7 linked regions of the Kluyveromyces lactis genome follow. The protein of the gene in region 1 interacts with the protein of each later gene in a biochemical or structural test. Links are inferred from orthologs where the notes say so. Each region holds a gene or a part of one and is shown in the gene's direction. Other genes may lie near its edges. The genes, in order: MCM10, MCM2, MCM4, CDC45, CDC7, MCM7 and MCM6.

What was found.
Region 2: the proteins of MCM10 (region 1) and MCM2 form a complex in vitro, tested with the Saccharomyces cerevisiae proteins (5 studies listed by BioGRID). The link is inferred for Kluyveromyces lactis from reciprocal best matches to the Saccharomyces cerevisiae genes MCM10 and MCM2.
Region 3: the proteins of MCM10 (region 1) and MCM4 form a complex in vitro, tested with the Saccharomyces cerevisiae proteins (3 studies listed by BioGRID). The link is inferred for Kluyveromyces lactis from reciprocal best matches to the Saccharomyces cerevisiae genes MCM10 and MCM4.
Region 4: the proteins of MCM10 (region 1) and CDC45 form a complex in vitro, tested with the Saccharomyces cerevisiae proteins (4 studies listed by BioGRID). The link is inferred for Kluyveromyces lactis from reciprocal best matches to the Saccharomyces cerevisiae genes MCM10 and CDC45.
Region 5: the proteins of MCM10 (region 1) and CDC7 form a complex in vitro, tested with the Saccharomyces cerevisiae proteins (2 studies listed by BioGRID). The link is inferred for Kluyveromyces lactis from reciprocal best matches to the Saccharomyces cerevisiae genes MCM10 and CDC7.
Region 6: the proteins of MCM10 (region 1) and MCM7 form a complex in vitro, tested with the Saccharomyces cerevisiae proteins (2 studies listed by BioGRID). The link is inferred for Kluyveromyces lactis from reciprocal best matches to the Saccharomyces cerevisiae genes MCM10 and MCM7.
Region 7: the proteins of MCM10 (region 1) and MCM6 form a complex in vitro, tested with the Saccharomyces cerevisiae proteins (4 studies listed by BioGRID). The link is inferred for Kluyveromyces lactis from reciprocal best matches to the Saccharomyces cerevisiae genes MCM10 and MCM6.

What each region holds. Positions count from the first base shown.
Region 1 is NC_006037.1:50,765-54,577, reverse strand, and holds MCM10 (Mcm10p), read left to right. Parts: upstream 1-1,496; coding exon 1,497-1,584; intron 1,585-1,667; coding exon 1,668-3,313; downstream 3,314-3,813. Other genes in the region: MLP2 (Mlp2p), read left to right, coding at 1-1,274; KLLA0_A00550g (uncharacterized protein), read right to left, coding at 3,337-3,813. UniProt on the Saccharomyces cerevisiae protein: Required for DNA synthesis. Required for entry into or completion of S phase. Involved in DNA replication and seems to participate in the activation of the pre-replication complex (pre-RC) and in transcription elongation.
Region 2 is NC_006042.1:1,165,544-1,169,543, reverse strand, and holds MCM2 (MCM DNA helicase complex subunit MCM2), read left to right. Parts: upstream 1-1,200; coding exon 1,201-3,834; downstream 3,835-4,000. Other genes in the region: KLLA0_F12606g (uncharacterized protein), read right to left, coding at 1-464. UniProt on the Saccharomyces cerevisiae protein: Acts as a component of the MCM2-7 complex (MCM complex) which is the putative replicative helicase essential for 'once per cell cycle' DNA replication initiation and elongation in eukaryotic cells.
Region 3 is NC_006039.1:1,537,586-1,541,576, reverse strand, and holds MCM4 (MCM DNA helicase complex subunit MCM4), read left to right. Parts: upstream 1-1,191; coding exon 1,192-3,870; downstream 3,871-3,991. Other genes in the region: mannose-ethanolamine phosphotransferase GPI13, read right to left, coding at 1-610. UniProt on the Saccharomyces cerevisiae protein: Acts as a component of the MCM2-7 complex (MCM complex) which is the putative replicative helicase essential for 'once per cell cycle' DNA replication initiation and elongation in eukaryotic cells.
Region 4 is NC_006042.1:1,834,515-1,838,291, reverse strand, and holds CDC45 (DNA replication initiation factor CDC45), read left to right. Parts: upstream 1-1,282; coding exon 1,283-3,277; downstream 3,278-3,777. Other genes in the region: tRNA splicing endonuclease subunit SEN2, read left to right, coding at 1-418; LCL2 (Lcl2p), read right to left, coding at 593-997; KLLA0_F19800g (uncharacterized protein), read left to right, coding at 3,594-3,777. UniProt on the Saccharomyces cerevisiae protein: Required for initiation of chromosomal DNA replication. Acts at the origin of replication. Also has a role in minichromosome maintenance.
Region 5 is NC_006039.1:396,435-399,826, forward strand, and holds CDC7 (serine/threonine protein kinase CDC7), read left to right. Parts: upstream 1-1,464; coding exon 1,465-2,892; downstream 2,893-3,392. Other genes in the region: DAL1 (allantoinase), read left to right, coding at 1-458; ERP3 (Erp3p), read right to left, coding at 545-1,264; trans-2-enoyl-CoA reductase (NADPH) TSC13, read right to left, coding at 3,197-3,392. UniProt on the Saccharomyces cerevisiae protein: Serine/threonine-protein kinase. Needed for the initiation of DNA synthesis during mitosis as well as for synaptonemal complex formation and commitment to recombination during meiosis. Required for HTA1-HTB1 locus transcription repression.
Region 6 is NC_006041.1:2,065,526-2,069,749, reverse strand, and holds MCM7 (DNA replication licensing factor MCM7), read left to right. Parts: upstream 1-1,424; coding exon 1,425-3,905; downstream 3,906-4,224. Other genes in the region: KLLA0_E23211g (uncharacterized protein), read right to left, coding at 1-103; AAH1 (adenine deaminase), read right to left, coding at 4,167-4,224. UniProt on the Saccharomyces cerevisiae protein: Acts as a component of the MCM2-7 complex (MCM complex) which is the putative replicative helicase essential for 'once per cell cycle' DNA replication initiation and elongation in eukaryotic cells.
Region 7 is NC_006042.1:935,830-940,052, reverse strand, and holds the start of MCM6 (MCM DNA helicase complex subunit MCM6), read left to right. Parts: upstream 1-1,423; coding exon 1,424-4,223. Other genes in the region: KLLA0_F10109g (C2H2-type zinc finger protein), read left to right, coding at 1-858. UniProt on the Saccharomyces cerevisiae protein: Acts as a component of the MCM2-7 complex (MCM complex) which is the putative replicative helicase essential for 'once per cell cycle' DNA replication initiation and elongation in eukaryotic cells.

The sequences.
Region 1 (3,813 bases):
ACTGGGAATCGAAGTTCCAAAGAATTAGGCTTCAAGCACGTGATAGATTGAATGCCTCCAAGGAAAAGGAACAATCTTTATCATCAGAAATAAACCAAATCAATGAAGCTAAATCTCAAGTGGAGGCCGATTTAGGAAAATGTAAGACCGCTTGCAAAGAGTTAGAAGAAAGATTACAAGTGGTAACGCAAGAAGCAGAAACAAAGGAACAGACTTTTAACTCTCAATTATCTAAATTGCAGGAAGATCTACATTCTATTCAGGTTCAAATGGAAAATGCTTCCAAGACCGAACAGAATAATGCAGATTCAGATGAAAAAATAAAATCGTTGACTGAGACTGTGGAAATGTTAAATAGTAAAATACAGGAGCTTGAAGCCGAAGCCTCCAACGCTCAAAAAATAGTAGCTGAACATCATACGCCAGTTATCAACGAAGACACGAAGTCAATAGTGGATAATTTGAAAACAGAATTTGAAGCTGAAAAAGAACAATTAATAAAAGATAAAGAAAAAGAATTGAGGAGCAAGTTTGAGGCAGAAAAAGAATCTGCTTGGAATTCCAGAGAGGAAGAGCTCCGGAAACAGTTTGAAGAAAGAGAAAAGAGAATTCGTGAAGAGTGCGAAAAGACTACTGTCCAGTCTCCTTCGCAGCCTACCTTGGATATAGACATCGATGCTTTGAAGAATGAATGGGAAAAAGAATATGAGAAGCAGACTCTGGAAAAAATTAAATTAGCAGAAGAAGCCCTCAAGAAACGGATCAGGTTACCTACTCAACAAAAGATTGATAAAATAGTTGAGGCAAGAAAAGCTGTTTTAGAAGAGTCCTTTGAAGAAAAGGTAAACGAAAAGGCCCAAAAATTGGCAGGAGAGATCGGAAATGATGCCATTACTCTAGAAAAGCATCGTGCAGAATTGAATGCACTTAAGGATTCCATGCGTAAGCAATTTGAAGCAGATTTGGCAGAAATAAAACAAAAATCTTTCGAAGAAGGGAAACAGCAAGTTTCCTTGAAATTGAAATTTTTGGAAAGCAAGATCAGGAATTTAGAACAACAAAAGTCCACAATTAAACCTGTAGAGAATGACACTTCTAATATGAGTGCAGCATTCCAGGCCCCTGTATTTGGCTCTCATTCAACATTCACTAGTCCCTTCTCAACGTCAGAAATTTCTCCTAATAAGAGACCCATAGACGACACCGCAACAGAACAGCCTGAGAAACGTCACAAAGAGCCTGAAAGTGATACTGAGGATGGTCAGGAAGCCTGATTCTCCAGACGATTTTATGGCTGTTAATATTACCGAAGTTCTATTTAATTTTTTTCTATTATGTATCATTATTTGACCATTCGTTTTCAACATGTAAAAAATACTAGTATTACTTTCCACAGATATTCAAACGAGAAAACAAAATAATGACATCCCACAAGTAAAGAATGAACGAGAATAGTTACAGAAGCTATCGAGTATAGGTAACAGTGAAGATGCATCATGTCATATGATCTAACTGACCCGAGAGAAATTACGGCGTTCGACCCGTACGAGGAATTATCTGATGATGAATCTGAAATCGAAAGAGGTATGTTCTAATAATAATGGTTACCGAGATCAATGACATTAGAATATCCTACTAACATATTATAACCAATCATTAAATCAAAGTGAAACGAAGAATTGTTGAAATTGACACTGAGAAACGAGATTTAACTAACCGGCTGTTGGAACTAGAGAAGAAGAGAAACCTCAAAGACCCTAATTTCGATTCTATCGACGTTCCAGAGTCTCCTAAGAAATCAGATAATGCTACAAAAGGAATAGAGGATATCAAACATATTGCGCCAGTAGCAGATATAGAGGAAGCTACATTTAATGTTAATGAGGATTATGTAAGGGAAAAGGTCAAAAAGTTGGGTACCACTTCTTACTTTACTGAAAAACTTCGCTCCATCAATACAAATGAACATGAAGCGATTAAAAGGAAGAAAGAATTATTGGCACATCGAGTTTACACATTCAATGGCGACATGTTCGATGAATATGAACCAATTACTGTTGATGAAAAAGATGATTTGAGTGGTCTGGTTATAGACAGAAGGTATGTACCGTTGGCCGTACTTAGGAAACATACTAAAAACATAAAAGTGCTTCGACTTCCAAAGCTCTTCAGTAAGGTGAGAGCCCCTAAGTTCTCTGAACCTGATTATCCCAATTGGTTGGTATTGGGTATCATCTCAAAGAAAACTGAACCAAGAATGACAAATTCTGTGAAACCGGTGAAATTCTTCAGCCTAACCATAAGTGATTTCCAATTTGAACTGAATGTTATTTTCTTTGGGAAAAGTATAGTTGAAAAGTATTACAAACTAAGATTAGGTGATTTGATTGCTATACTTAACCCTGAAATAATGCCTTCCAAGAAACTGGAAGCGGGAGCAAGCCCTAGTTACGCTACATTTTCGTTAAAAGTTAGTAAAGACACCAATAATATACTGGAACTAGGTCACAGTAAGGAATTCGGATTGTGCCAATTTTACATGAAGAACAAAGGCAAGCTATGTGGTGCGCCAATAAACAAATTGCATGATAACTACTGTGCATATCATAAAGAGGCAAAAATGAGGCAAAACAGTTCTAGAAGAGTTGAAATTAGTAGCTCTGTGGCAATGAGAGCGCCAGTTGTCAAAGGATATCAACAGACTATTGTAAAATCACAACACAATAATGGTAAAACATCCATAAGATATCAACAAAATCCTGATAAACCGTTTGTACGAGAACCGGCAGCTGCAGAGACCAACAGATTCCTCTTCAGTTCTGCAAATGCCTCTACCGCGTTTTTCGATGACGACTACGAAAATCCTGACATACTGGCCAACCTTGATAACAAAAGACGCAAAATTCAAGAACTCAGAAACAATCGAAACTTGGAGAAAAAGTTAAAGGGTCTATCCGACAAATTGTTGTCAAAGAAGGAAGACCGAGTCAATCAAGAAGCAAAAAAGACTGCGACGTTGAGCATGTTCCAACATGGTTTAGCGAACCAAATTGGTTATGACCCAACAAAAGGGAAAGCGTCTTTAGAGATGCTTGAATATTCTACAGAGAATAAGGCGCCAAAGAATGATAAACAGCTGGCGATAACGGATATTTGCAATATAAAGAAAGATAATGTTAGCCTGAAACCTTCGAAGAAACAATTGAAAGAGAAAATTGAAAAGAGAAACGCTATCTTCAATGAAATAATGAAAGGCAGCCAAGAGCGGCTCGATAAAGATGAAGGCTCAAGTGATGATTTGGAAATTATATAGACAATAATGTAAGGTTTAATATATTATAAAGAATGTAGTACTTTTAATGATGGCTCCGTACAAGTCTCAATTCTTATCGTGGATGGTGGAGTATTCTTTCCCTCTAACTCTAGTAAGTTAAGAAGTTGCCCATCACAGCAAACTTCAAAGTTGCTCTTTTGTGACGGATCGTCTAGTACTTCGACGTTAAAACAAAATGGCAGTGGTCTGTAAAACGTTCCATTCTGTAAGATGTTTGAATGCTTCGTATTTGAATAACCCATAAATACCCTTTTCTGGAATTCTACTCTATCCAGAGAAGACTGGTATGCCAATACATGTAGTTGTGATTCCAATGGATCAGAATCGGGAGATGGCATATAAGTTGGCTCCAGATTTGTGGTATTTATTAACGCAAAATAACTAAAAGATCCTTCCAGAATATCGGGAATAGAGACGCGAGATTCGAGCTTGTATTCTCTTAAAATTCGCTGGCTAGCAACTCTAAACCTTTCAATGCC
Region 2 (4,000 bases), on another chromosome or scaffold:
AGAATGCAGTGATCATGAAACCAGTCCTCATTGCACTCCAAGCCAAGGACGCATTGTAACATCGTTGTCGTTGTATTCGGGTCATACTCTCTATGGCAAGAGCAAAATAACCCTTTGAAATTCTGGCCATACCTGTTACTCATGTCTGGTATATCTGGTGTAGTATTCTTTCTTATATTACAAGGTGTGAACTTCTCACCGTGTTCAAACTGCCTTTCTGTACCGCAATCGCAACTGAAATTCCTCTTATCGAAAAGTTCCACCAAGTCACAGGTACTGTGACACTGAATAGAGCATGAATAGCACACTCCTATACTGTTGCAAGTACGACATGCGAATATTGGCTGTCGAATTGGGCCCATGGAATAAGTGCAATGGCTTGGATCATATGGCATCAGTTTATTTGCTTCATCTTCCAGTTCCTCCTGTCGCTTCACATATTCTTTAACGCTAATCTCGCTCATTCCCTAACACCAACAAGACTATCTTTAAGTGCCAGAACTCACCTTGTAGTAAGAAATGCGTGAATGAAGGTACCCTTTTTGCCTTTAACTTGACGTGTTCCTTATGTTTAAATTTGGGGATATTTCATTGATAGTAAGAGATTTTCCATGTCGATGAATCAATATTCCGTATGATTTTACGTCAATATCGACACATTTGGACGGTTACCGGATGGAAATCGATCTAATATGGGGCACAAAATGCATCACATCATTCCAGAGCTTCAACATCCATACTTTACCTGCAATTGTGTTGCTTCATCGTGTGATTGGAGCTATAAGTACGGTTTTTAAGCGTATGATCCCATGTGATTATCACGTGATCCACGCATCATAATAAAGAAATTATACTAATCAAATGTAGATTGCAAAGCTAAAAGAGGTGAGAACTACCGATTGGTGTTATTGGAATATTGCCATTGCTGTATTATTAGCCCCAACGCTCTACAATGGTCAGATCGTTGCAAAACACCATTTTAGGAAATGTTATTGTTTCAATTAAAGATCATTTTCGTACATTCAACTGAAGAAAAAAGCCGGAAAAAACGTTAAGATCTTAAGATAGCTTTAGATCCCAATGGTCTGAAACAAAGTGTAACAAGTAGGTCATCGAAGCATCAGGAAGACAATTGTGTGATCGGATTTGGTAGTGCGATAATTGAAGATTATTAATTGCTGTTTTTGAAAGTGTTTCAAGATGTCTGATAATGATGAAATAAATAACGGAAGGAGGAGAAGAAGAAGAGCTGATGATGATGAGGATGAGGATGATTCTTTGTCTACACAACCCCGTGAAGGTGGCGCTAACATCCCTAGTTCTCCACAGTTTGAAGACCCGCTTGGATCTCCAGATGAGATAGATTTTGAGAATCCAGATAACGATGGAGATGAAGCTGTCAATGTTCAAGAGGATCTTGAAGATGTGGAAGAAAGAATGAATGAAGTCGATTTGATGGGTGATGATATGTACCGTGATTACGCTTCAAACACAGAACATGATACGTATGAAAGAAGAGGAGTCGACGACCAGGAGCAGCAAGAGTTGTCGCTCGCTGAGCGTAGAAGAATCGATGCACAATTGAACGAGAGAGATCGTTTGGTGCATAGGAACACAGCATACCTTGATGATGATGATGGCGAAGGAGCTGGTGCGCATAATTTGGATGCTATGGGTCTTCCAGTACAGAGGAGACGTAGAAGACGTCAATACGAAGAAGCAGATGATGATTTGTTATCAGATATGGATATAGATCCGTTGGCAGATGAGCTCTCGTTGGAATCTTTGGCAGATGTGAAGGCATCAAGTTATTCTGAATGGATCACTCAACCGAATGTATCACGTACTATTGCCAGAGAGTTGAAATCGTTTTTGCTTGAATATACTGATGAGTCAGGTAAATCCGTTTACGGTGCTCGTATCAGAACTCTCGGTGAAATGAACTCTGAATCCTTGGAAGTTAATTATAGACATTTGGTAGAATCCAAGGCCATTCTAGCCCTATTTTTAGCCAAATCTCCCGAAGAAATGTTGAAAATATTTGATACAGTGGCTATGGAAGCTACACAACTACACTATCCCGATTATACTCGTATTCACTCGGAAATTCACGTAAGAATCTCGGATTTCCCTAGTATATTGAACTTACGTGCTTTACGTGAAACTCATTTGAATTCTTTAGTTAGAGTTAGTGGTGTCGTGACAAGAAGAACTGGTGTCTTCCCACAACTTAAATACGTTAAATTCAACTGTTTGAAATGTGGTGCCACACTTGGGCCTTACTATCAGGATTCAAATGAAGAAATTAAAATCTCGTTCTGCACAAATTGTAGATCTAAGGGTCCCTTCAGAATTAATATGGAAAAAACTCTGTACCGTAATTACCAAAGAATCACCATCCAAGAATCACCAGGGTCTGTTCCAGCCGGTAGATTACCACGTCACAGAGAAGTCATTTTGTTGTGGGACTTGGTTGATATCGCAAAACCTGGTGAAGAAGTCGAAGTGACAGGAATCTATAAGAACACATATGACGGTAATTTGAATGCAAAGAACGGGTTCCCCGTTTTCGCAACAGTACTGGAAGCCAATTCAGTGAAGAGAAGAGAAGGCGGATTGCATGATGGTGATGAACACGAAGGGCTGGATGCCTTCAGTTGGACAGAAGACGAAGAGCGTGAATTCAGAAAGATGTCTCGTGACAGAGGAATCATCGATAAAATCATTTCATCAATGGCTCCATCTATTTATGGGCACAGGGATATCAAGACAGCAATTGCATGTTCTTTATTCGGAGGTGTTCCTAAAAACATTAACGGTAAGCATTCCATCCGTGGTGACATAAACATTCTACTTCTCGGTGATCCAGGTACTGCCAAGTCCCAAATTTTGAAATACGTGGAAAAAACTGCCAACAGAGCTGTCTTCGCTACAGGTCAAGGTGCTTCTGCAGTCGGTTTGACAGCTTCTGTCAGGAAGGACCAAATAACTAAAGAGTGGACTCTTGAAGGTGGTGCGTTAGTGCTTGCGGATAAGGGTGTTTGTTTGATTGATGAATTCGATAAGATGAACGATCAGGATCGTACTTCTATTCACGAAGCAATGGAACAGCAAAGTATATCCATCTCTAAGGCAGGTATCGTTACCACGTTACAAGCCAGATGCTCTATTTTAGCTGCCGCCAACCCGATCGGTGGTCGTTACAACTCTACTCTTCCGTTATCACAAAATGTCAATTTGACTGAACCAATTTTGTCAAGATTCGATATCCTCTGCGTGGTAAGAGATTTGGTTGATGAAGAAAGTGATAATCGGCTAGCATCTTTCGTCGTTGATTCACATATCAGGTCTCATCCAGACAAGGATCTGGATGATTTTGATGATGGTAACGTTCCAACGGAAAATCCTAATGGGGAGGGTGATGAAGAAACTCCGTTATCTGCCAAACAAAGACGCTTGCAGAACCTTCGTAAAAGAGAAGAAGAAATTTCGCCCATATCTCAGCATATGCTAATGAAGTATATTCATTACGCAAGAACTAAAGTTTACCCTAAGTTACATCAAATGGATATGGACAAAGTGAGTAGGGTTTATGCTGATTTGAGACGAGAGAGTGTCACTACTGGTTCATTCCCGATCACCGTTCGTCATTTGGAATCTATCTTAAGAATTGCTGAAGCCTTCGCGAAAATGAGATTATCAGAATTCGTTTCCTCATGGGATTTAGACAGAGCAATTAAAGTAACAGTGGACAGTTTTGTGGGTGCACAAAAGATTAGTGTACGTCGCCAACTACAAAGATCTTTCGCTGTTTATACTATGGGAACAATGTGAAATCAAGATTCAACATTTCCAACGGAAGAAAACAATTCTATAAGCTCAGAACAACAATATACCGTTCCCATTTTTTCCATTATAGATGCAGTACTACATCGCTTATATTAGCATAATATACAAATTTGTAACTAATAGACTTAAATAATGATTACTTCAACCTTCA
Region 3 (3,991 bases), on another chromosome or scaffold:
TAAATAGGGCATCCCAAGTGTCATCACCGGCAAAGAATATTTTCTTGTTATGCAGATAAAGCTGTTTTATTAAGTTATCCTCATCGATCACATCACCATTGAAATTCGATCCTGCATCTATAAATGTAGGCAAGGAACCTGTTGTCAATCCCTTTAATCTTTGTAGCGTAGTTGTGGGAGGATCAGCCAAAAACTTCAACAAGACAGAATCCGTTGAGTTATGGGCCGTCTCATAAAGAACTTTCAAATTGTTATGATAATTAGGGTTGTACTTGGCATGATTTTCATCTACTGGAATAACGAAATCAAACCTCAATGCGTCCACTATTAGTAAAACCATCTTATCGTATTTAGCTTCGAAGGGAAGCTGGGGATCAAGTTCTGCAACGTTATCCAACACCGTCCTTGTTAAAAGGAACCCTTTTGCGAAAAATGCTATGGAAATAAACTGCAATACAGCCAAAGAAGCAAGTAATAGTATGTACAGAGTGTGCGTAGACTTGAACCTTGATATCCGATAGCTCATTCGACTGGACCTCGTTTGAGGCCCCATTATGCTGAGTCTAATTCTCTCTGCCCGATCTCGTTCATCACTAACAGTGGGATTCATCACTTCTTACCAGTTTCCAAACGGGACAAAAACACAACTAAACGAAAGTACAATAAATTCACGTTGAATAATGATATTGTGCAGAAGAATTGAGTCACACTGGCGAAAGTGGTTCGCTTATCTCTCGCCTCTGACAGAGTTCTTGTTACCACTTTATTTCATTTTAAAGGTTAATTTCTTTTAAAACAGAACAATTGTACATCACGTGATCATTGTTCCCTCTTCAAATAATGCAACTCCAATTCTGATCGGCGAAGATACTGACCATTGAGCTGAGTGGATCCATGGTATTATCAACGGTGGCAAGGGCTCATTAGAACCTTGTTTATTTCAATTTGTTCTGTTTTCTTCTTTAGGAAATGTAACTATGTAACCAAAAATGTGTAAAATCTTAACGAGTTTCACTTAGTTCACTCAAAGCATCTCAAACAAGATAACATTATCAATTGAAAGGTGATATATCAGGGAACCTAGGATTATTTAGCTGCTTAGTAGGTTTGATAAAATTGCTGAATTAGCATTTGGATAATAGTGGCAGTATATATCCATAGAACACAGGAAGACAAACGGTTAACAATATTATGTCCTCACCTCCAGCTCAACAACCAAGTTCACCAAATTTGTTTTATGATCCTAGCTCTTCTCCAGCTCCTCATGGTACACAGGATTCCCAGGCATCTCAAGACCGAGGCGTAGGCTCTTCTCCGTTTCACTATCCTTCGTCTTCGTCAAATGCCACGCAAGAGACGGCTCGCGCCGCTCCTAGTAGCAGTGGTTTAAGATCTAACAATTTGAGATCTGATCTATTGAACTATTCATCCTCTCTATCCTCAAGTGCAAGAGAGGGAAGACACTCTAGATCTAGAAGAGGCGAAATTAATGCATCTGACTTATCATCTCCCAGAAGAATTGTCACTTTCAATAACCTTTCCTCATCGGATAATGGATTTTCATCATCATCGAGACCTGCATCTGAAGCTGCTGATCAACCTTTGAAGATCATCTGGGGTACCAATGTTTCGATCCAAGAGTGTGGTAACAGTTTCAGAGAATTTTTGATGTCTTTCAAGTTGAAATATAGAAAGGAGCTAGATGATCAGGAGATTTTCATCAACGAAACAACAGACCAAGAGCTGTATTATGTGAATCAATTGAATCAAATGAGACAACTCGGTACTTCAAACTTGAACCTTGATATCAGAAATTTACTGGCTTATAAACATACTGAAAAGTTGTTTCATCAGATTCTCTATTACCCTCAAGAAATTATAGCTATTATGGATCAAACTGTTAAAGATTGTATGGTATCCTTAGCACTTGATAATGGGTTAGAGAGTTACTTGAATGAAATTGAATCGAAGTTGTTCAAAGTGAGACCATATAATGTGGAAACCAAAAAGGGTATGAGAGAGCTTAATCCTAATGATATTGATAAATTGGTGAGTATCAAAGGTTTAGTTCTAAGATCCACACCTATTATCCCAGATATGAGTGTTGCATTTTTCAAATGTAACGTATGCAATCATACTGTAGAAGTTGAGATCGATCGTGGTATTATTCAAGAACCAGTGAGATGTCCCAGAGTGGTCTGTAATAGCCCAAACTCCATGGTTTTAGTTCACAATAGGTGCACTTTCCAAGACAGACAAGTGATAAAGTTACAAGAAACGCCTGATCTAGTCCCTGATGGACAAACTCCACACTCTGTTTCCCTATGTGTATATGATGAGCTGGTTGATTCGTGTCGTGCTGGTGATAGAATTGAGGTTTCAGGTATCTTTAGATCTATTCCAATCAGGTCGAATCCAAAGCAAAGAGCCCTCAAATCTCTATACAAGACATACATCGATGTGGTTCATATCCAAAAGGTGGCTAAAGATAGAGTCGGTGTGGACACTTCTACTGTTGAACAACAACTCTTGCAGAACCAGATTGATAATGTGGAAGAGATTAGAACTTTGAGTAGCGAAGACATTAGGAGGATCAAAGAAACTGCTCGCCGATCGGATGTCTATGATGTTTTGTCACGTTCCATCGCACCAAGTATTTACGAGTTAGATGACGTCAAGAAGGGAATCTTATTACAACTCTTTGGTGGTGCTAATAAAACTTTCAAGAAAGGTGGAAGATATAGAGGTGACATTAATATTCTACTATGTGGTGATCCTTCGACCTCTAAATCTCAAATTTTACAATATGTTCATAAGATTGCTCCTCGTGGTGTTTACACTTCGGGTAAGGGTTCCTCTGCTGTTGGTTTAACTGCTTATGTTACAAGAGATGTGGATACTAAGCAACTGGTGTTGGAAAGTGGTGCTTTAGTTCTCTCTGACGGTGGTGTGTGTTGTATTGATGAATTTGATAAGATGAACGATAATACTAGATCAGTATTACATGAAGTTATGGAACAACAAACAATCTCTATTGCAAAAGCAGGTATTATTACAACTTTAAATGCTAGAACTTCAATTCTGGCTAGTGCCAATCCTATCAACTCTAGGTACAATCCTAATCTTCCTGTGACTGAAAATATTGATTTGCCGCCTCCATTATTATCAAGATTTGATCTCGTTTATCTAGTGCTTGACAAGGTCAACGAAGCGTCTGATCGTGAACTCGCTAAGCATTTAACCAGTTTATACCTGGAAGACAGACCGGATTCTGTATCTCAAGGTGATATTCTACCAGTTGAATTCTTGACAGCCTACATCAACTATGCAAAACAAAACATTCACCCGGTAATAACTGAGTCAGCCAAGACTGAACTTGTGAGGGCATATGTCGGTATGAGAAAGATGGGTGATGACAGTAGATCAGATGAAAAAAGAATTACCGCAACAACAAGACAGTTAGAAAGTATGATTAGACTTTCAGAAGCTCATGCTAAGATGAGGTTAAGTGAAAGAGTTGAACTTGAAGATGTGGAAGAAGCAGTGAGACTGATAAAGTCTGCCATCAAAGATTACGCTACGGATCCTAAAACTGGTAAAATTGATATGAACCTTGTACAAACTGGTAAATCGGTTGTGCAAAGAAAATTGCTTGAAGACTTGGCGAGAGAAATTTTAAAGATATTGACAGAAAGGACAACAGACACAATAAGTTTCAACGAACTAAGCAAGCTTATAAACGAACAATCGCAAGATAAAGTGGAGAGTATCGAATTATCAAACGCTTTGACAAGATTGCAACAAGAAGACAAGGTAGTAATCTTAGGAGAAGGTCTAAGAAGATCAATTCGTTTGAATGGCCGTGTATGAATAGATATTATCAAGTCTAGTTTTTCTGAGAAAGCCTCTACATAGTTTGCAAAGGGCTAAATGAGAATAACGACCTTCCGCATGTTCTGCTTATATACATACGTTCTGTGTATATATCATC
Region 4 (3,777 bases), on another chromosome or scaffold:
GCAACAATTAATGGTTTCGTTGGTACTGGAACCGAAAAGTTTCCAAGACATCAAGAAATTAATTCATCAATATGTCGCGTACCATCATTACAGGTCCAAAGGGTGGTGTGTACGATCGGGGATAAAATTTGGTTGCGAATACTTATTATACAGAAGAGGACCCCCTTTCCAACATGCGGAGTATGGAATCATGGTTTTGGATGCAAACCAGTCAAATGATTACACTTGGTATTCAAGCGCTGCCAGAGTCGTGGGCGGAGCCAAGAAACAGTTTGTATTATGCTACGTTGAACAACTCATACCTGAAGATGACTTAATGGAACTTTGGAAGCAATCAAAGTACGATGAGCTTTTCAGAAACTTTAAAATCCATGAATTGTTATACAAAAGATGGGTTGCAGGTAAGAACAGAGATTAACTGTTCCGAACCGGTAACGATCTTTTCCGCGAAGAACTCAAACGAGTAAAAATAAACCCATGCTAGTTAATTGCATTAAATACAGTAATGGTCTGTATTATATGTCTCTATATATATTATCAGTTTATGTTTGTAATAGTATTATGGCCGATACAGAAAGAAAGATCTCTCATTCTAAATCTTGCCGTCATATACATCCAAGATCCATCCACAATCTCTGAATCCCTCAGTACGTTGAGCTGGTCCCATTACTGGATCATCATAAATCTCTACCAGTGTTGGATCATGTGTTGCTGGCTTTGAGATGCAAATTACCTGACCGTTGGGTAGATTGCATTTCAATTGTGAATTAGGGAACGGACACGCACAATCCGACTTCTGTCTCACACAATCCAATGTCTGTGGACATAAATAATGCGGACAGTCATTATCTAGGAACATTTGCTGGTAAGAGCCAACATCCCGCTGTTGCTGCTGTTGCTGCTGTTGCTGTCTATTCTGGTGACCTGAATCGAAAAAGAATCCAGACACAGCTTGTAAAAAGAATGCTGAACCAATTATTGTTCCCAGTAGTTTCATAGTAAGTTAAGATCTTCGTATTTCGTAATACTGCAATATGAAATATCAGATAGCAGTGTTTAGTACCTATAGTCTTGTAAATCTTGGCATCTCTTCGAATATTTCGAATATTTCGCATGTATGCCATTTATGACAAGTAATCGATTTTCCAAAAATCTTTAAACGTGTAAGTATTCCAAACCAATATTTTAAAGAAATTTATGTAAATACATGAGATGACTAGCTCACGAGGGAAAAGAGACTGCAAACAAAACCACTGCAGGCCATCAAAGTGCCAGGTAGAGGATGTATATTGGCATTGCTGAATTTGTGGGTGCTTATGATAAAATTCTTCACCGATGCAGTTCTCATTCTTCATGTCAGTTGGTGATTTTTGTTTCGTGTTTAAACATTGACGCGTTATGTGCATCGAAGATGCTATCCAGTCTATTCAAGAAGCAATTGGTACAATCACAGTTAGTTCCCGTGTTTGGTTATTCGGAATTGAAGGATCACTATCAGAGACTGGACGAAAATATCAATAGCGTTATATTTGTAGGTTGTGGAGGGATGGTAGATCTTGAATCTTTTTTAGAGATTGATCCACAAGAAAACACGCAGGGTCCATTAGATGAGATTCAATTAGATAAGACTGACGTTGTTCAGAAATTTAAGAAGGAGATATTTGTGCTTGATTGTCATAGACCGTGGAATTTGGATAATTTATTTGGTTCACAGTGCATAACCTGTTTCGATGATGGAACAGTCGAAGAGTCTTTGACAGAGCAAAAGAAAGCATACTACAAACTTATAGAGATAGAGAACGAACTTGGCGATGAATTGGACGATGACAGTGATAGCGAGGAAGAGGAAGATGACAGGGAAACGCAAAATGAGGATAAAGACGACGATGACGATGACGATGACGATGACGATGACGTAGTATTGGGTAAAAGGTCCAGCGATGAATTGAATCCAAAAAAATCACATAAACAACGAAAGCGAGAGTTTCACAACTTAGAAAAAGTGTTACAGGAGTACTATTCACAGGGATCAACGGTGCTGAACTCCCTTTCAGTTCAGATATATTCTCTTTTGTCTGGTATTGGTGAGACAAATCTAGATTATTTATGGTTATGCATTCTAGGAGTGTCCTCTTTGGATAATTCCTTCCCGTTGGTATACAATCGACTATTACCACTTCTGAAAGATGAAGTAAAAAGATTGACACCTAGTGAAAAAACTAAAACGCCAGATTCTTTGAATCTTGAGATTCGTCCCGATTACAGTTTATTCCTTCTGAGGCATACATCCTTATATGATAGTTTTTATTATTCTAACTACGTCAACGCCAAACTGTCACTGTGGAATGAAAATGGCAAGAAAAGACTGCATAAAATGTTTGCACGCATGGGTATTCCGCTGAGTGTTACACAGGAAAACTGGATATATATGGACAATAATTTCAAGAGAGATCTGGGCGTACTTTTCGATAAAAATCTCGATAGATACGGGTTACAAGATATTGTACGAGATGGGTTCTTGAGAACTTTCGGTTACCGAGGATCAATAAGTGCCAGTGAATTTGTCGAATCGATAACCGCTTTACTTGAAGTTGGCAATGCTTCAAACGCACTAGAAAATTTGACAACAGCTAATGTATCTCAAAAAGATGATACGAACCAAGGTGATGAAGAGAATAGGGAGTACGAAGAAGCTGAAGAGCAAAAAATTAACAGAATACTGAAGACAAGGCAAAAAAAATGGATTGCAAATTTTTGGTCAAGTTGGGATGTATTGGACAATAATATGGATATTTTATCTCAGGGGATTAAGCATGCAACATTTTTACAAAGAAGTGTATTTGAAACTGGAGTCGCTATTCTGGAGAAAAGATTAGTGAAACATTTAAGGATTTACAGGCTATGTGTTTTACAAGATGGACCAGATTTGCATTTATATAGAAATCCATTAACGTTATTGAGGCTGGGATCATGGCTCATTGAATACTATGCAGAAAATGACGAAAAACAGTTACTTCCACTGGTATTGGCAACTTTAGATGAGACTTCTGACACATATCTTTGTGCAGGGATTGCGCCAAGGTACCCAAGAGGGTTGGACATTTTACAACAACAACAGCAGAAAACTTTAAATAATTTCACAGTGGCATTTCAACAAATAGCAGCTGAGACAGGTGCCAAAGTAAGGATTGACAATTTCGAGACATCAATTATTGAAATCAGGAAAGACGATCTACAACCATTCCTTGAACGTTTGACATTAAGCGGATTGATTTAGCACGAAGACACAAACATATTAATTTAGGCATATCATGAGGTGAGCTTTCGGCTTTAAATCTAATATATATATATATATTATGTAACAATCTAATCAGATACCTCGAAATTGACACTACTATGGGATGTCCAAGCTGTTTGAAATCTGTTAGGTTTACCATTGATATCACGTGATCATTAAACCAATGCCACAAATGTCAGTCAAAGGTAAGCATTCTAAAATACCCACAATAATTTGTCATAATTATAGGCAAAATGTTGCCAAGAACCAGCCTTCAACCCCTCAACTGTAGCTGTTCAGGCTCTTAAGTTAATACATGGAGCACAACATAGATCTTCCGCGTCTGCCACCCTGGAAAAGCCCGCAGTTCCGCAGGATCAAACATGTCAAACACTCAACAGATGAGGATTTCAACGTTGGGATGGGCACATCGGCAAATGTATTCAGCGACTCTTCGCTCTACACTCCGTTGAATTACAAGAATGAACGCAATAGAAACA
Region 5 (3,392 bases), on another chromosome or scaffold:
CCTTAAGAGAAGGTCTAATCACTTCTGTAGTAAGTGACCATTCTCCATGTATACCGGAGCTAAAAGACCTCGCAAAAGGTGATTTTTTTAGTGCATGGGGAGGAATTGCATCCGTCGGGTTGGGACTACCATTACTATACACTAACGGTGCTTCCATCGCTGAAATCATTCAATGGTGTTGCGAGAACACCAGTAAGCAAGTTGGTCTTGATCACAGGAAGGGTTTCCTAAGAACTGGATACGACGCAGATTTTGTTATCTTCGACATCAATACCTATCAGACTGTCGACAACGATAAAGTTTATTTCAAAAACAAACTGACAGCCTATGATGGGTTCAAACTGAAAGGTTTAGTGAGAAACACCTATGTTAGAGGAAAATTGGCTTTTGAACTTGACGGCATGGGACATAATAAAAACCCTCCCGGCCAGACAATTCTTGAACGCAGAAGAACATGAAGTACCCCATCTTCTAATCATTTTTTTTTCTTCAATTTTGAATTACCTTTATTTGATGCATGATATACATATTATATATATATCACTTATGATTTAAATTTACCTAGAATATACTTCATTATTATAATTTCTAGAACAGCAATCGTCGGTACAAGAACTATGGAGCAAATTGATATGGTGACCAACCTCGATGCTATTGATTTAACAGTGTGGTGGTTTCTTTCTGCACGTGATTTGTACAGCTTCAAATTTCTTTCCAAGACTTGAAGCTGATCCTCTATTATATTTACAGAATCTTGCAGTGTCCTCACCAGTGAACTATCTATCGTCTCTCCTATCAAACGAGGATCTGCTGGCTTCGGTATCTGATCGAAACATATCTGTACAATGTCTAAATCAACAATCTTAGGATATTCATCACCAATGACACATAACGCATATTCACCAGTATGTTTCGCAGGAAATGTCCATTGCCCTTGCTCTTCGTCATCTTTGTAAATCATAGGATACTCTGTATCGTCCGGAGACCATAATTCATAGCTTACTCTGAAGGCATTGTTTTCTCCCTCTTGTACTGCGAAGTAATAAGATATTTTGCAGTCACTGTCATCAACATCAATGTAAACACATTCTTTCCCATTCTTCTGTAATTGTACCGTTATTGGTGAGCTTTGACAGACAATCACAAGCGAAAATACCCATAACCATGTAAACTTCATATTTAATAAGTTATACATGAAGGTTGCTTTGTGTGTAAATGTCCTTTTATTCGACAATTCCCCTTTTAACGTCCTGTTTCTGTTCATTAATATATGTCATTTCAATGTGAACTACTGCTGTTTGTTATTATATTTGGTTTCGACAATAAAAATGAAAACATCGCCAAAAAATGCATAGAATAAAAGAATCAACGGATATAGCGTATCTGTTCTTGTAGAGTCAAACCAATGGGTATACAGCTCGTCTGTTAGGCTTCATATTAGGTGGCAATATACACACTATAATTATGGATGACATTCCCGCTGAAATCATCCAGGAAATGGATGATTTGTACGATAAGGTACCACAGTTGTCATCCAGATACAAGCTACTGGATAAGATCGGAGAGGGGACCTTTTCATCGGTATATAAAGCTCAAGATCTTAGCAACGTATCTGGAAGGTTATACCCTGATCATTTCTGGGATAAGAATAGTAAACATGTGGCTATCAAGAGGATATACGTGACAAGCTCGCCGAACAGAATTGAAAATGAACTTAAACTCTTAGAGTTACTGTCAAATTCGAATAACGTAGCACCATTATGCGACGCGATTCGATACCAGGATCAGGTGGTTGTCGTCTTGCCCTGGTATCCGCATGAAGAATTCCGGCATTTCTACCGAGACATGCCTATCAAGGGGATAAAGAAGTACATGTTTGAACTTTTAAGCGCCTTGAAATACGTGCACTCATTTGGAATCATTCACAGAGACGTGAAGCCAACCAATTTCCTATACAACCCAATACTTGGGAGAGGTGTGTTAGTAGACTTTGGTTTGGCTGAAGAGAATGAAGAGTTGTACTTGCCTGACCTCAACTATCGTGTGTATGTTAATGACCAGGGAGAGAAGGTTTGTAATTGTTCTTCACCGTATGCTAACAACAAAAAGACATCACATCTGCCGTTGATATCCATTCAGAACGGGCAGCTTAACGTTAGAGGGGCAAATGAATTAAGTGCTGCACAAAGTGAGAATCTCATGAAGGCAGAATTGAGTAAGGGGTACCCAAAACATGAAACTAGGAGGCAGCGTAGAGCTAATAGAGCTGGTACGAGAGGGTTCAGAGCGCCAGAAGTGCTTATGAAATGTTCTTTCCAAACTCAAAAAATTGACATTTGGTCAGTTGGTGTGATACTGTTAAGTTTCATCAGCAGAAGGTTCCCAATCTTTCAAAGCATGGATGATATTGACGCCTTTCTGGAGATATGTTGCATTTTTGGAATCAAGCCCATGCAAGAAGTCGCCAAGTTCCATGGGTTGGGACTAGACATGACAAAGGTTCCAGGTTTCCATTCGGAAGGATATCCTGGGGGGCTACAAGGTTTTGTGAGAGCTTTACTTGACAAAGAAGTGGAGGAAGGAACATTACCAGAGTATTCCATAGCGTTCGAGACGTTGGATTATTTGACACAATTTGACAAACAACTCACGCCAAGTTTAGGCCCAGACGATGAAGAGGATATTGATGATAAAATACGGAGCTACAAACAAGCAGTTTGGGACGATCATTTTTGGTGTTTTGATCTCTTGGCAAAATGTTTCGAACTCAATTCATACAAAAGACCCAGCGCCAGTGATCTTCTTGAACATTTATGGTTCAAAGAACTGAACGAAGATTTACTTGATAGAGATCAAAGAAGAGAAGATCACTTCACCGGGGTCGTTGAGTAATGAAATCCAGAACGAAACAAAAATATTTGACGAAAATTAGCATATATTCACCGCAATAACTTAGAGCAGAACTCATTTTTTATATACATGCATTCATATATAGAGTTCTTTAACCGATAGAGTAATTTAATACTTTGCATTCATCATCATTATTATATTTAGTTTACAAACGTTGCCAACGCTTTGACGGCATAAGTTAGAGAACAAGTGCGTAAATAAACGAGTAAAACAGCGTTATTCACTTAAGAGAGAATGCTATAATACCCCAAGTCAAATATGTATGTGGTGATAGTAATTGGTGAATTCAGAACAAGAATGGGATCAAGAATGCTCTCTTGGTACCATATTTCTTGTTTTTCTTTTGAGCCCACAAGTACATCTGAACCACCGAGACAACAAGGAAAAGAACTGAGAATAAGTTCAACTTGAACAACAAAGTGAAAAACATCCAAGCCCAAGATTCAAAAGTGTAATTTGGAGCGACAAGTAGTTTGAACAAC
Region 6 (4,224 bases), on another chromosome or scaffold:
CTTGTCTCTTGAATATCGTACTGGCAATCATCTCGTAATAGGTGTATATGTATATAGTTTGAGTTTTATGTTTGTGTTTAACCTCGTGACAATACACATACATATATTTAAATCCTAATATAAAATATACTCTATCACAAGAACCGAATCTTCAACTATTCACATTTCATACTTCTTATATATAAAACTAGAACCGAAAACCATCTTAGTGTAACGATACTAACACTCTGTGTGCATATTAATCTCGGGCTAAACGAAGCATAAAAAAGTCAAACCAAAAACAGTTAAAATGCTAAAGATAACGAGGTAACTGTCAGAAAGTCAGTCTGAGACAGCTGTTCTAACCTGATTTCCAGTTTTAAGGTACATTACAGTACAATGCAGATACTCAGCTAGGCGAATTTTTTTTATTTTGAGAATTTTTTGTTGGCTTTTTCTTTTGCATCTTAGAAACGTGTGTAGGACTGAGAGTTTTGTGCGAAATCTTGAGTGTGTGGACTGAGAAACGGTGAAATAAATGTGGTCTGACTAAGTGTCATTGTGAACGACGCCGACACATAGGGCTGTGCCGGGGCCTGTACCCTTTTCCACACAGTAGTAATAATAATAAACATTAGCTTCGGTGATGTTTAACGGCATAAACTGTAAACTATTGGTATGCCGGTCCGTATGTAGTGCATTTTTGCAACACGTAAACTGGGAAGGAGCTAAATTGATTTTTTAAATTGATTTCTCAAATTTAAGGGTGCGGTTTACGCGTTTGTTTACGTTTTTTGACGTTTACGTACGGTACAACGCGTAAAATGTAAACAATTTATGGGGGGCGGGGAGGTAATAAATTACACCTGGTTTACGCGTTGCGATGACATACCTCTCGTTTACCAAGGGCTATCCCTGAGGGCAGGGGCGGCGGTACACTTTGAGCGAGGGGAAATGTTGAATTTCAGTTTCTGAAACTGGGGTGTCCATTTACGAATGCCAAATTCCTATACTATATCCATTGTCCACTCGATTGGCCCATTGAACACTTGTTAGGCTTAGATAATGCAATGTTAAGGTTGTTTTCACCCAATTTTTGAGGTTACTGCCTCTCTATACCGGGGGTCCAGCCAAGCCAATGTGGTCGTTTATGAAAAGTACTGAAAATTGAAAAATTGAATTGCAATTTCAAATTAAAAATAGACTATAAGAGGGAGGGTAATTATGTTGGTATGTTTTGTCACGTGGTTGTGTCCGGGTAATGCGTCTTTCATCTTCTACCCGATTAGGAACTGTAAAATAAAAATCACTTTCGTTTTTCCAATTGATCTTTGAAACATTTACGCATACACTTTCTGCTAATCTTCAACAACTTCTCCGTTATCAGTTTTCCTACTGTCTGCTGCCACTCACACCAACCAACGATTCAGAACACCACCAGTACCATGGCTTCATCGGTTTTGCCCACACTGGATCTCGGAATTGACTACGAGGTAGCTCAAGATAATATCAAAGATTTCTTGATCCATTACAAAGAGGAAACTATCGGTTCTACTGGGGAGAACGATAATGACGATAACTTGGATCCTGAAGTTGGTCAGGGCCCAAAGTACTTGCAACAATTGCAACATATTGCCAATAGAGAACAAGATATCTTGTATATCGAATTGGACGATGTGTACCATTATCAGCGCACCAAGCAATTTGAAAATTTGTCTTCGTCAAATACAGCAGCACAAGGCAAGAACTTAGTTAACTTACACCGTATCATCATGGAAAACACTAAGCGGTTCACAGAACTTTTCTCCAACTGTGTAGATGAACTATTGCCGCCTCCAACGAAAGATATCGATTACGAAACAGATGTATTGGACGTCATTTTACACCAACGAAGATTGAGAAACGAAAGAAATATCTTGGAAACTAGAGATGAATTCCAACAAATGGCTCAAGGGATGGGCGAAGAGTCTCAAACCAATTTGGATCAATTGGCCACTACGGACGCTGATTTGTTCCCTGCTGCGTTGATTAGGAGATATCATTTGTATTTTAAACCGTTAACCAGCAGATCCACTAGGAAACTGAAACCAATGTCAGTAAGAGAAATTAAAGGCTCTTATTTGGGAAAATTGATTACAGTCCGTGGTATCATTACCAGAGTCTCTGATGTGAAGCCAAGTGTCACAGTCAACGCTTATACTTGTGATCAGTGCGGTCATGAAGTGTTCCAAGAAGTTAATAAAAGAACTTTTACCCCAATAATAGAATGTCCCTCTGCCCAATGTTCCGAAAATCAAACTAAGGGACAATTGTTCATGAGTACTAGGGCATCAAAGTTCAGTGCATTCCAAGAATGTAAAATTCAAGAACTATCAGATCAAGTGCCCATCGGGCATATCCCAAGGACATTAACTATTCACATTAATGGGCCATTAACTAGATCCATGATTCCAGGTGATGTGGTAGATGTTACTGGTATATATCTACCTTCACCATACACTGGTTTCCGTGCTTTGAAAGCTGGTCTATTAACGGAAACGTACCTAGAGACACAGTTTGTGTACCAGCATAAGAAAAAATTCGCATCTTTCCAAGTTGATGATCAATTGAAAGAAAGAGTAGCGAAAATCGTCAACCAAGGTGATGTTTATAACCGTTTGGCTAAATCAATTGCTCCAGAAATTTACGGTAATCTCGATGTTAAGAAATCTTTATTGTTATTATTAGTGGGCGGTGTTGAAAAAAAAGTCGGGGATGGTCTAAAAATCAGAGGTGATATTAACATTTGCTTGATGGGTGATCCTGGTGTTGCTAAATCTCAATTATTGAAATCTATCTGTAAAATTTCTCCGAGAGGTGTCTATACAACTGGTAAGGGTTCTTCTGGTGTAGGTCTAACAGCCGCCGTTATGAAGGATCCAGTGACTGATGAAATGGTGCTAGAAGGTGGTGCCCTCGTCCTTGCCGATAACGGTATCTGTTGTATCGATGAATTTGATAAGATGGATGAAAGTGATAGAACTGCTATCCATGAAGTTATGGAACAACAAACCATTTCAATTTCTAAGGCAGGTATTAACACTACTTTAAATGCCAGAGCCTCCATATTGGCAGCTGCTAACCCGCTATACGGAAGGTATAATCCAAGGTTATCTCCACTTGAAAATATTAATCTACCAGCAGCTCTTTTGTCTAGATTCGATATCATGTTTTTACTACTCGATATGCCAAGCAAAGAAAACGATGAGAAGTTAGCAGAACACGTCACGTACGTTCATATGTATGACAGGCAACCTGATTTTGGTTTCGAACCAATTCCTTCGAGCGAAATGAGAGAGTATATTGCATACGCCAAGACTAAGAGACCTGTGTTGTCAGCTGATGTCAATGAACACATAGTTCTATCTTATACAAGAATGAGACAAGACTCTAAGAAAGCGTTGGATTCTAAATTCTCGTTTGGGCAAGCAACACCTAGAACTTTACTTGCAATTATCAGACTATCACAGGCCTTGGCAAAACTAAGGCTCAGTGACACTGTGGAAATTGAAGATGTAGACGAAGCTTTGAGGTTGGTAGAAGTCTCTAAAGAGTCATTATACAGCGACCGCAAGAACCCATATGAAGATGAAAACCCAACAACCAGAATTTACACAATTATCAAGAAAATGGCGACTGAAAATGGTAGATTTAATAAAAGATTACCGTATGATGCTATTGTAAGAACGATTAGATCAAGAGGTTTCACTATGCTGCAACTGGTAAGCTGTATCAAAGAGTATGAGTATCTTAATGTTTGGCATCAAATAGAAGACGGAAACACCTTGCTATTTATTGACGATATTGATGATACAACGGAAGACAATTCTGATATAACTAACCCTTCGACGCAAAGGACACCGGATGAAGATGTCGATATGGAATAATACCTGACTATCTGCATACCACTAATCTGTTTTGATCCAATAATGCCTTTATTCCTTATTTTAGTTTTAAACCTAGTTTAACGACAAATTTGTATTACTATATACTAACGTTTAAGTAACTTCTAATGTGCCTCTTCTCCCAGATAGACTGAACGATGCAGAAGTAATCACAGTCTATCTTTCAAAACCAAAATTAATTTGTCGAATTCAAAATCTATCTATTTTGTGCATAAACCTAGCTTATGCCATCTACTACTTAGTCTAAGGTAAGTTTACATATTTGTTTACAACTTCTGAAACCTCAGAGAGTAGTTCTTGT
Region 7 (4,223 bases), on another chromosome or scaffold:
GAACATCATATTGAAAATCGTGAATGTGAAGCTATTTTGCCAACTTTCAAGGGTAACCTGAAGAAGAGTAAAAAGTGTGGGAAGTTGAAAATGATCATGACCTCTGATGGACAGTCACGTTTCATTTCCAACCAAGCAACTATCAGCGAAGCCAAGGTGCCTATCAGCAACTTCATGCCAGAAAATAGGAAGAAGTTATCGAGTGAGTATTCTAAACCGGCTTCTGCCTCCCCGCCCATCAAACAAACCATATCTGACCTGGCTTTGGATAACACTTTTGCTCTGGCTTCAATACCACTAAACTACAATGGAAATATCAATGGAAATATCAATGAACATAACGACAATCAGAATTACGGTCATTTCGAAAACCAAGTGTATGGCAACGGTGTCCCATCTCTCGCTCCCTCGAACTCTGTCCCCTTCACAGGACAACCACAACTAATACCTCATTCGGGATCTCAAAATACAGCTACTCATTTACGCAAATGTACACAACCATTCGATGAATTCTCCTCATTGAACAAATCACCAGTTGAAGATGCAGCTTTGGACACCGTACGGTCTATCTCATCCCAATCCTCCCATGAACATACTGTTCTCCATAAAGAAATGAACTTCATATCTACCGATCAAAAGTCACAAATAAATCCTGATTGGGAAGTACTCCCCCTCGACATCGAGCAAGCAGGCATGTCTATGGAAGAAGAAGTGAAATTCACGAATAACTCGAATGAACCTAAGATTAATACTACTTTACAAAGACAAATGAATGAGTACGCTCTGGGTGAGAGGCACTTCAGAGAAACTCAGCAATTCATGAACTTTTTCAATTATACTTACAATTACCAAGAATGATTGAATCTTTTTCCATTCGGCTTTTCAGTGGACCTATGTCCACATTAACATTTTCGGTTTATTTTATCTGGTTACATTTTTTTCTTTTCTTTCGATTTTAGATTCATTTTCACTTCACCATTAATGCAACTGACTGTCAGGGGGGCTATTTTATCCCTGGCCAGCTTTCTAAAATCCTCGCGTCCATATACTTATATCGCTTAAATAAGATGAATTCTTACCTACGTATCATTAATTTTTATTATCAATTCACCGATGTTTTATCTTCTCCCTATCGAATCAAAAAGAAAAAATTCCATTAAATTGAACTTTGCTGCATTGGTTATCGATATGTTATGGTCGATAGTCAATGGTTTTCCTCGTGTTATACCTCAGTTAACTAATTTTGGATACTTGCAATACCTCTTTAGGAAAAGTAATATTGAATCGCCTTAACTCAGAAATTAAAAAAATGATTTTACATGTTGAAACACTTAAAACATGATCTTCAATGTGAAGGGCATCCAGGTTGAACGGCTCATCCAAAACCGGACATAGTTGGAGCAAGCTGAAAAAATCAGCAACAATGTCGGCACCATCAAGTCCTTTTCAACATGGTCAGCAATCATCCCAGCCTCCCTCTAGTGTAGGTGCTTATGATAGTTCACAATTCGATGATCAGTCGTTAGGAAACAGAACTCCCCAGTTTCCATCTTCTTCCAGAGGAGTGTCAGATGGAAATAGACATTTCGGTACTGATGACACTAGGCAAGGCATTAATTCAGAATCACAAATAGAGGCTATGGAAAATGATTCACAAGAAATTACTCCATTAGCCGGGATCAGGCAGAAAAACTTGAATGCCATCAAAAAGGTTGATGATAAAACTGGTGAAACTGTAAGAGAGGCATTCGAACATTTCTTGTCAAATTTCACCGCCCTCAATGATGAAACAGGTGAGATGGAGAAGGTTTATAGAGTCCAAATTGAATATATGAGATGGTACGAATTGAATACCATATACGTTGACTATAAACATTTGGCCGAGGTGGAAGACGGAGCTTTAGCGGTTGCTATTTTACAACAGTATTACAGATTTTTGCCATTCCTTTTATCTGGGCTAAGAAATGTGGTGAAGAAGTACGCTCCTGGATTATTATTAACATCTGACTCTGTACTTCCTTCTCAATCTCAAGAGAATTCTCAGGACCGCTCTTCGCAAAGAATAGATTCATCTTTGCCAACTTCGCAGGCTGCCACCGCAGGAGGCACTGCCCCATCTACCATTGCCACTAATCCAGATCAGGTTGAACGTGTTTTGCAAATCAGTTTCCTGAATCTCCCAACTGTCCATAGAATCAGAGATATTAGGGCTAATAAGATTGGTTCTTTAATGGCTATTTCAGGCACAGTCACGAGAACTTCGGAAATTAGACCAGAATTATACAAAGCCAGTTTTACATGCGAATTGTGTCGAGCTGTTATTGACAATGTGGAACAAGTTTTCAAGTACACTGAACCAACCTCTTGTCCAAATCCAACATGTGAGAACCAATCTTTCTGGTCATTAAACGTGAACAGGTCCAAATTCTTGGATTGGCAAAAGGTAAGAATTCAAGAAAATTCCAATGAAATTCCATCCGGTTCTATGCCAAGAACCTTAGATATTATTCTTCGTGGTGACTGTGTCGAAAGAGCTAAACCAGGTGATAGATGTAAATTTATTGGTACTGAAATTGTCGTTCCAGACGTTAGTCAACTTGGTTTGCCTGGTGTTAAAGCAAGTTCGACTCCAGATTCTAGAGGTATCTCACGGACAACGGAAGGATTGAACTCAGGTATTTCTGGGCTCAAATCATTAGGTGTTAGAGATTTAACTTACAAAATATCGTTTTTGGCATGCCATGTTGAAAATGTTGGTACCAGTTTCAATGGTAGTAGGATTAATGAGGAGGACGCCGATAAGACATCCAAATTTGATTATATTAACTTGAGAAACTATCAAAACTATGAAATGGCGGCAGAAACTGATCAAGAAATTTTCCTAACAAGGCTTGATTCTGACGAAATTAATGAATTAAAAGAGATGGTGAAAGATGAGAATATTTATGACAAACTGGTGAAATCGATTGCACCAGCAGTTTTCGGGCATGAAACCATTAAGAAAGGTATCCTTTTACAAATGCTTAGCGGTGTTCATAAAACTACTGTAGAAGGCATTAAATTGAGAGGTGACATTAATATTTGTATCGTTGGTGATCCGTCCACCTCAAAATCTCAATTCCTAAAATACGTCTGTAACTTCTCTCCAAGAGCCGTTTATACTTCCGGTAAAGCATCTTCAGCGGCTGGTTTGACTGCAGCTGTGGTGAAAGATGAAGAAGGTGGTGATTTCACTATTGAAGCTGGTGCGTTAATGTTGGCAGATAATGGTGTTTGTTGTATCGACGAATTTGACAAGATGGATATCGCAGATCAAGTTGCTATTCATGAAGCCATGGAACAGCAAACCATTTCGATTGCCAAAGCTGGTATTCATGCAACATTAAATGCCAGAACTTCAATTTTGGCTGCCGCTAATCCCGTCGGCGGTAGGTACAATAGGAAACTGACTTTAAGATCTAATTTGAACATGTCTGCACCAATTATGTCCAGATTCGATTTATTCTTTGTCATTCTTGATGATTGCAATGAGAAGATCGATACTGAGCTAGCTTCCCACATCGTAGACTTGCACATGAAGAGGGACTCTGCTATTAATCCACCATTCTCAGCAGAACAATTGAGTCGTTATATCAACTATGCCAAGACTTTCAAGCCGGTAATGACTAAAGAAGCTCGTGACTACCTAGTCAAAAGATATACAGAACTAAGGAAAGACGATGCGCAGGGGTACAGTAAATCTTCGTACCGTATAACTGTCAGACAACTGGAATCATTAATCAGATTAAGTGAAGCTATTGCTCGTGCTAATTGCGTGGATGAAATTGTTCCGAGCTTTGTCGCTGAGGCGTACGATTTGTTGAGACAGAGTATCATCCGTGTTGATGTTGATGACGTTGAAATTGAAGATGACGATAACTCCCCAGAAGAAAGTACGGAGGGTGAGGGCACAATACCTGCCACACAACACTTCGGCGAAACACTTGATACACAATCTCAGTCACCTTCTCAACCACTGAACGCCGACTCCGAAACGGGGGGTGGTCCTGACGTAGAGTCTCATGACAACGCTCATCACACAACACATAAAGTCGCAATATCATATGATAAATACGTGGAAATGATGAATCTAATTGTACGGAAAGTGGTTGACAGAGAAAAGAATGAAGAACCTGAAATGACAAAAACTGAGATAGTAGATTGGTATTTACAACAGAAAGAAA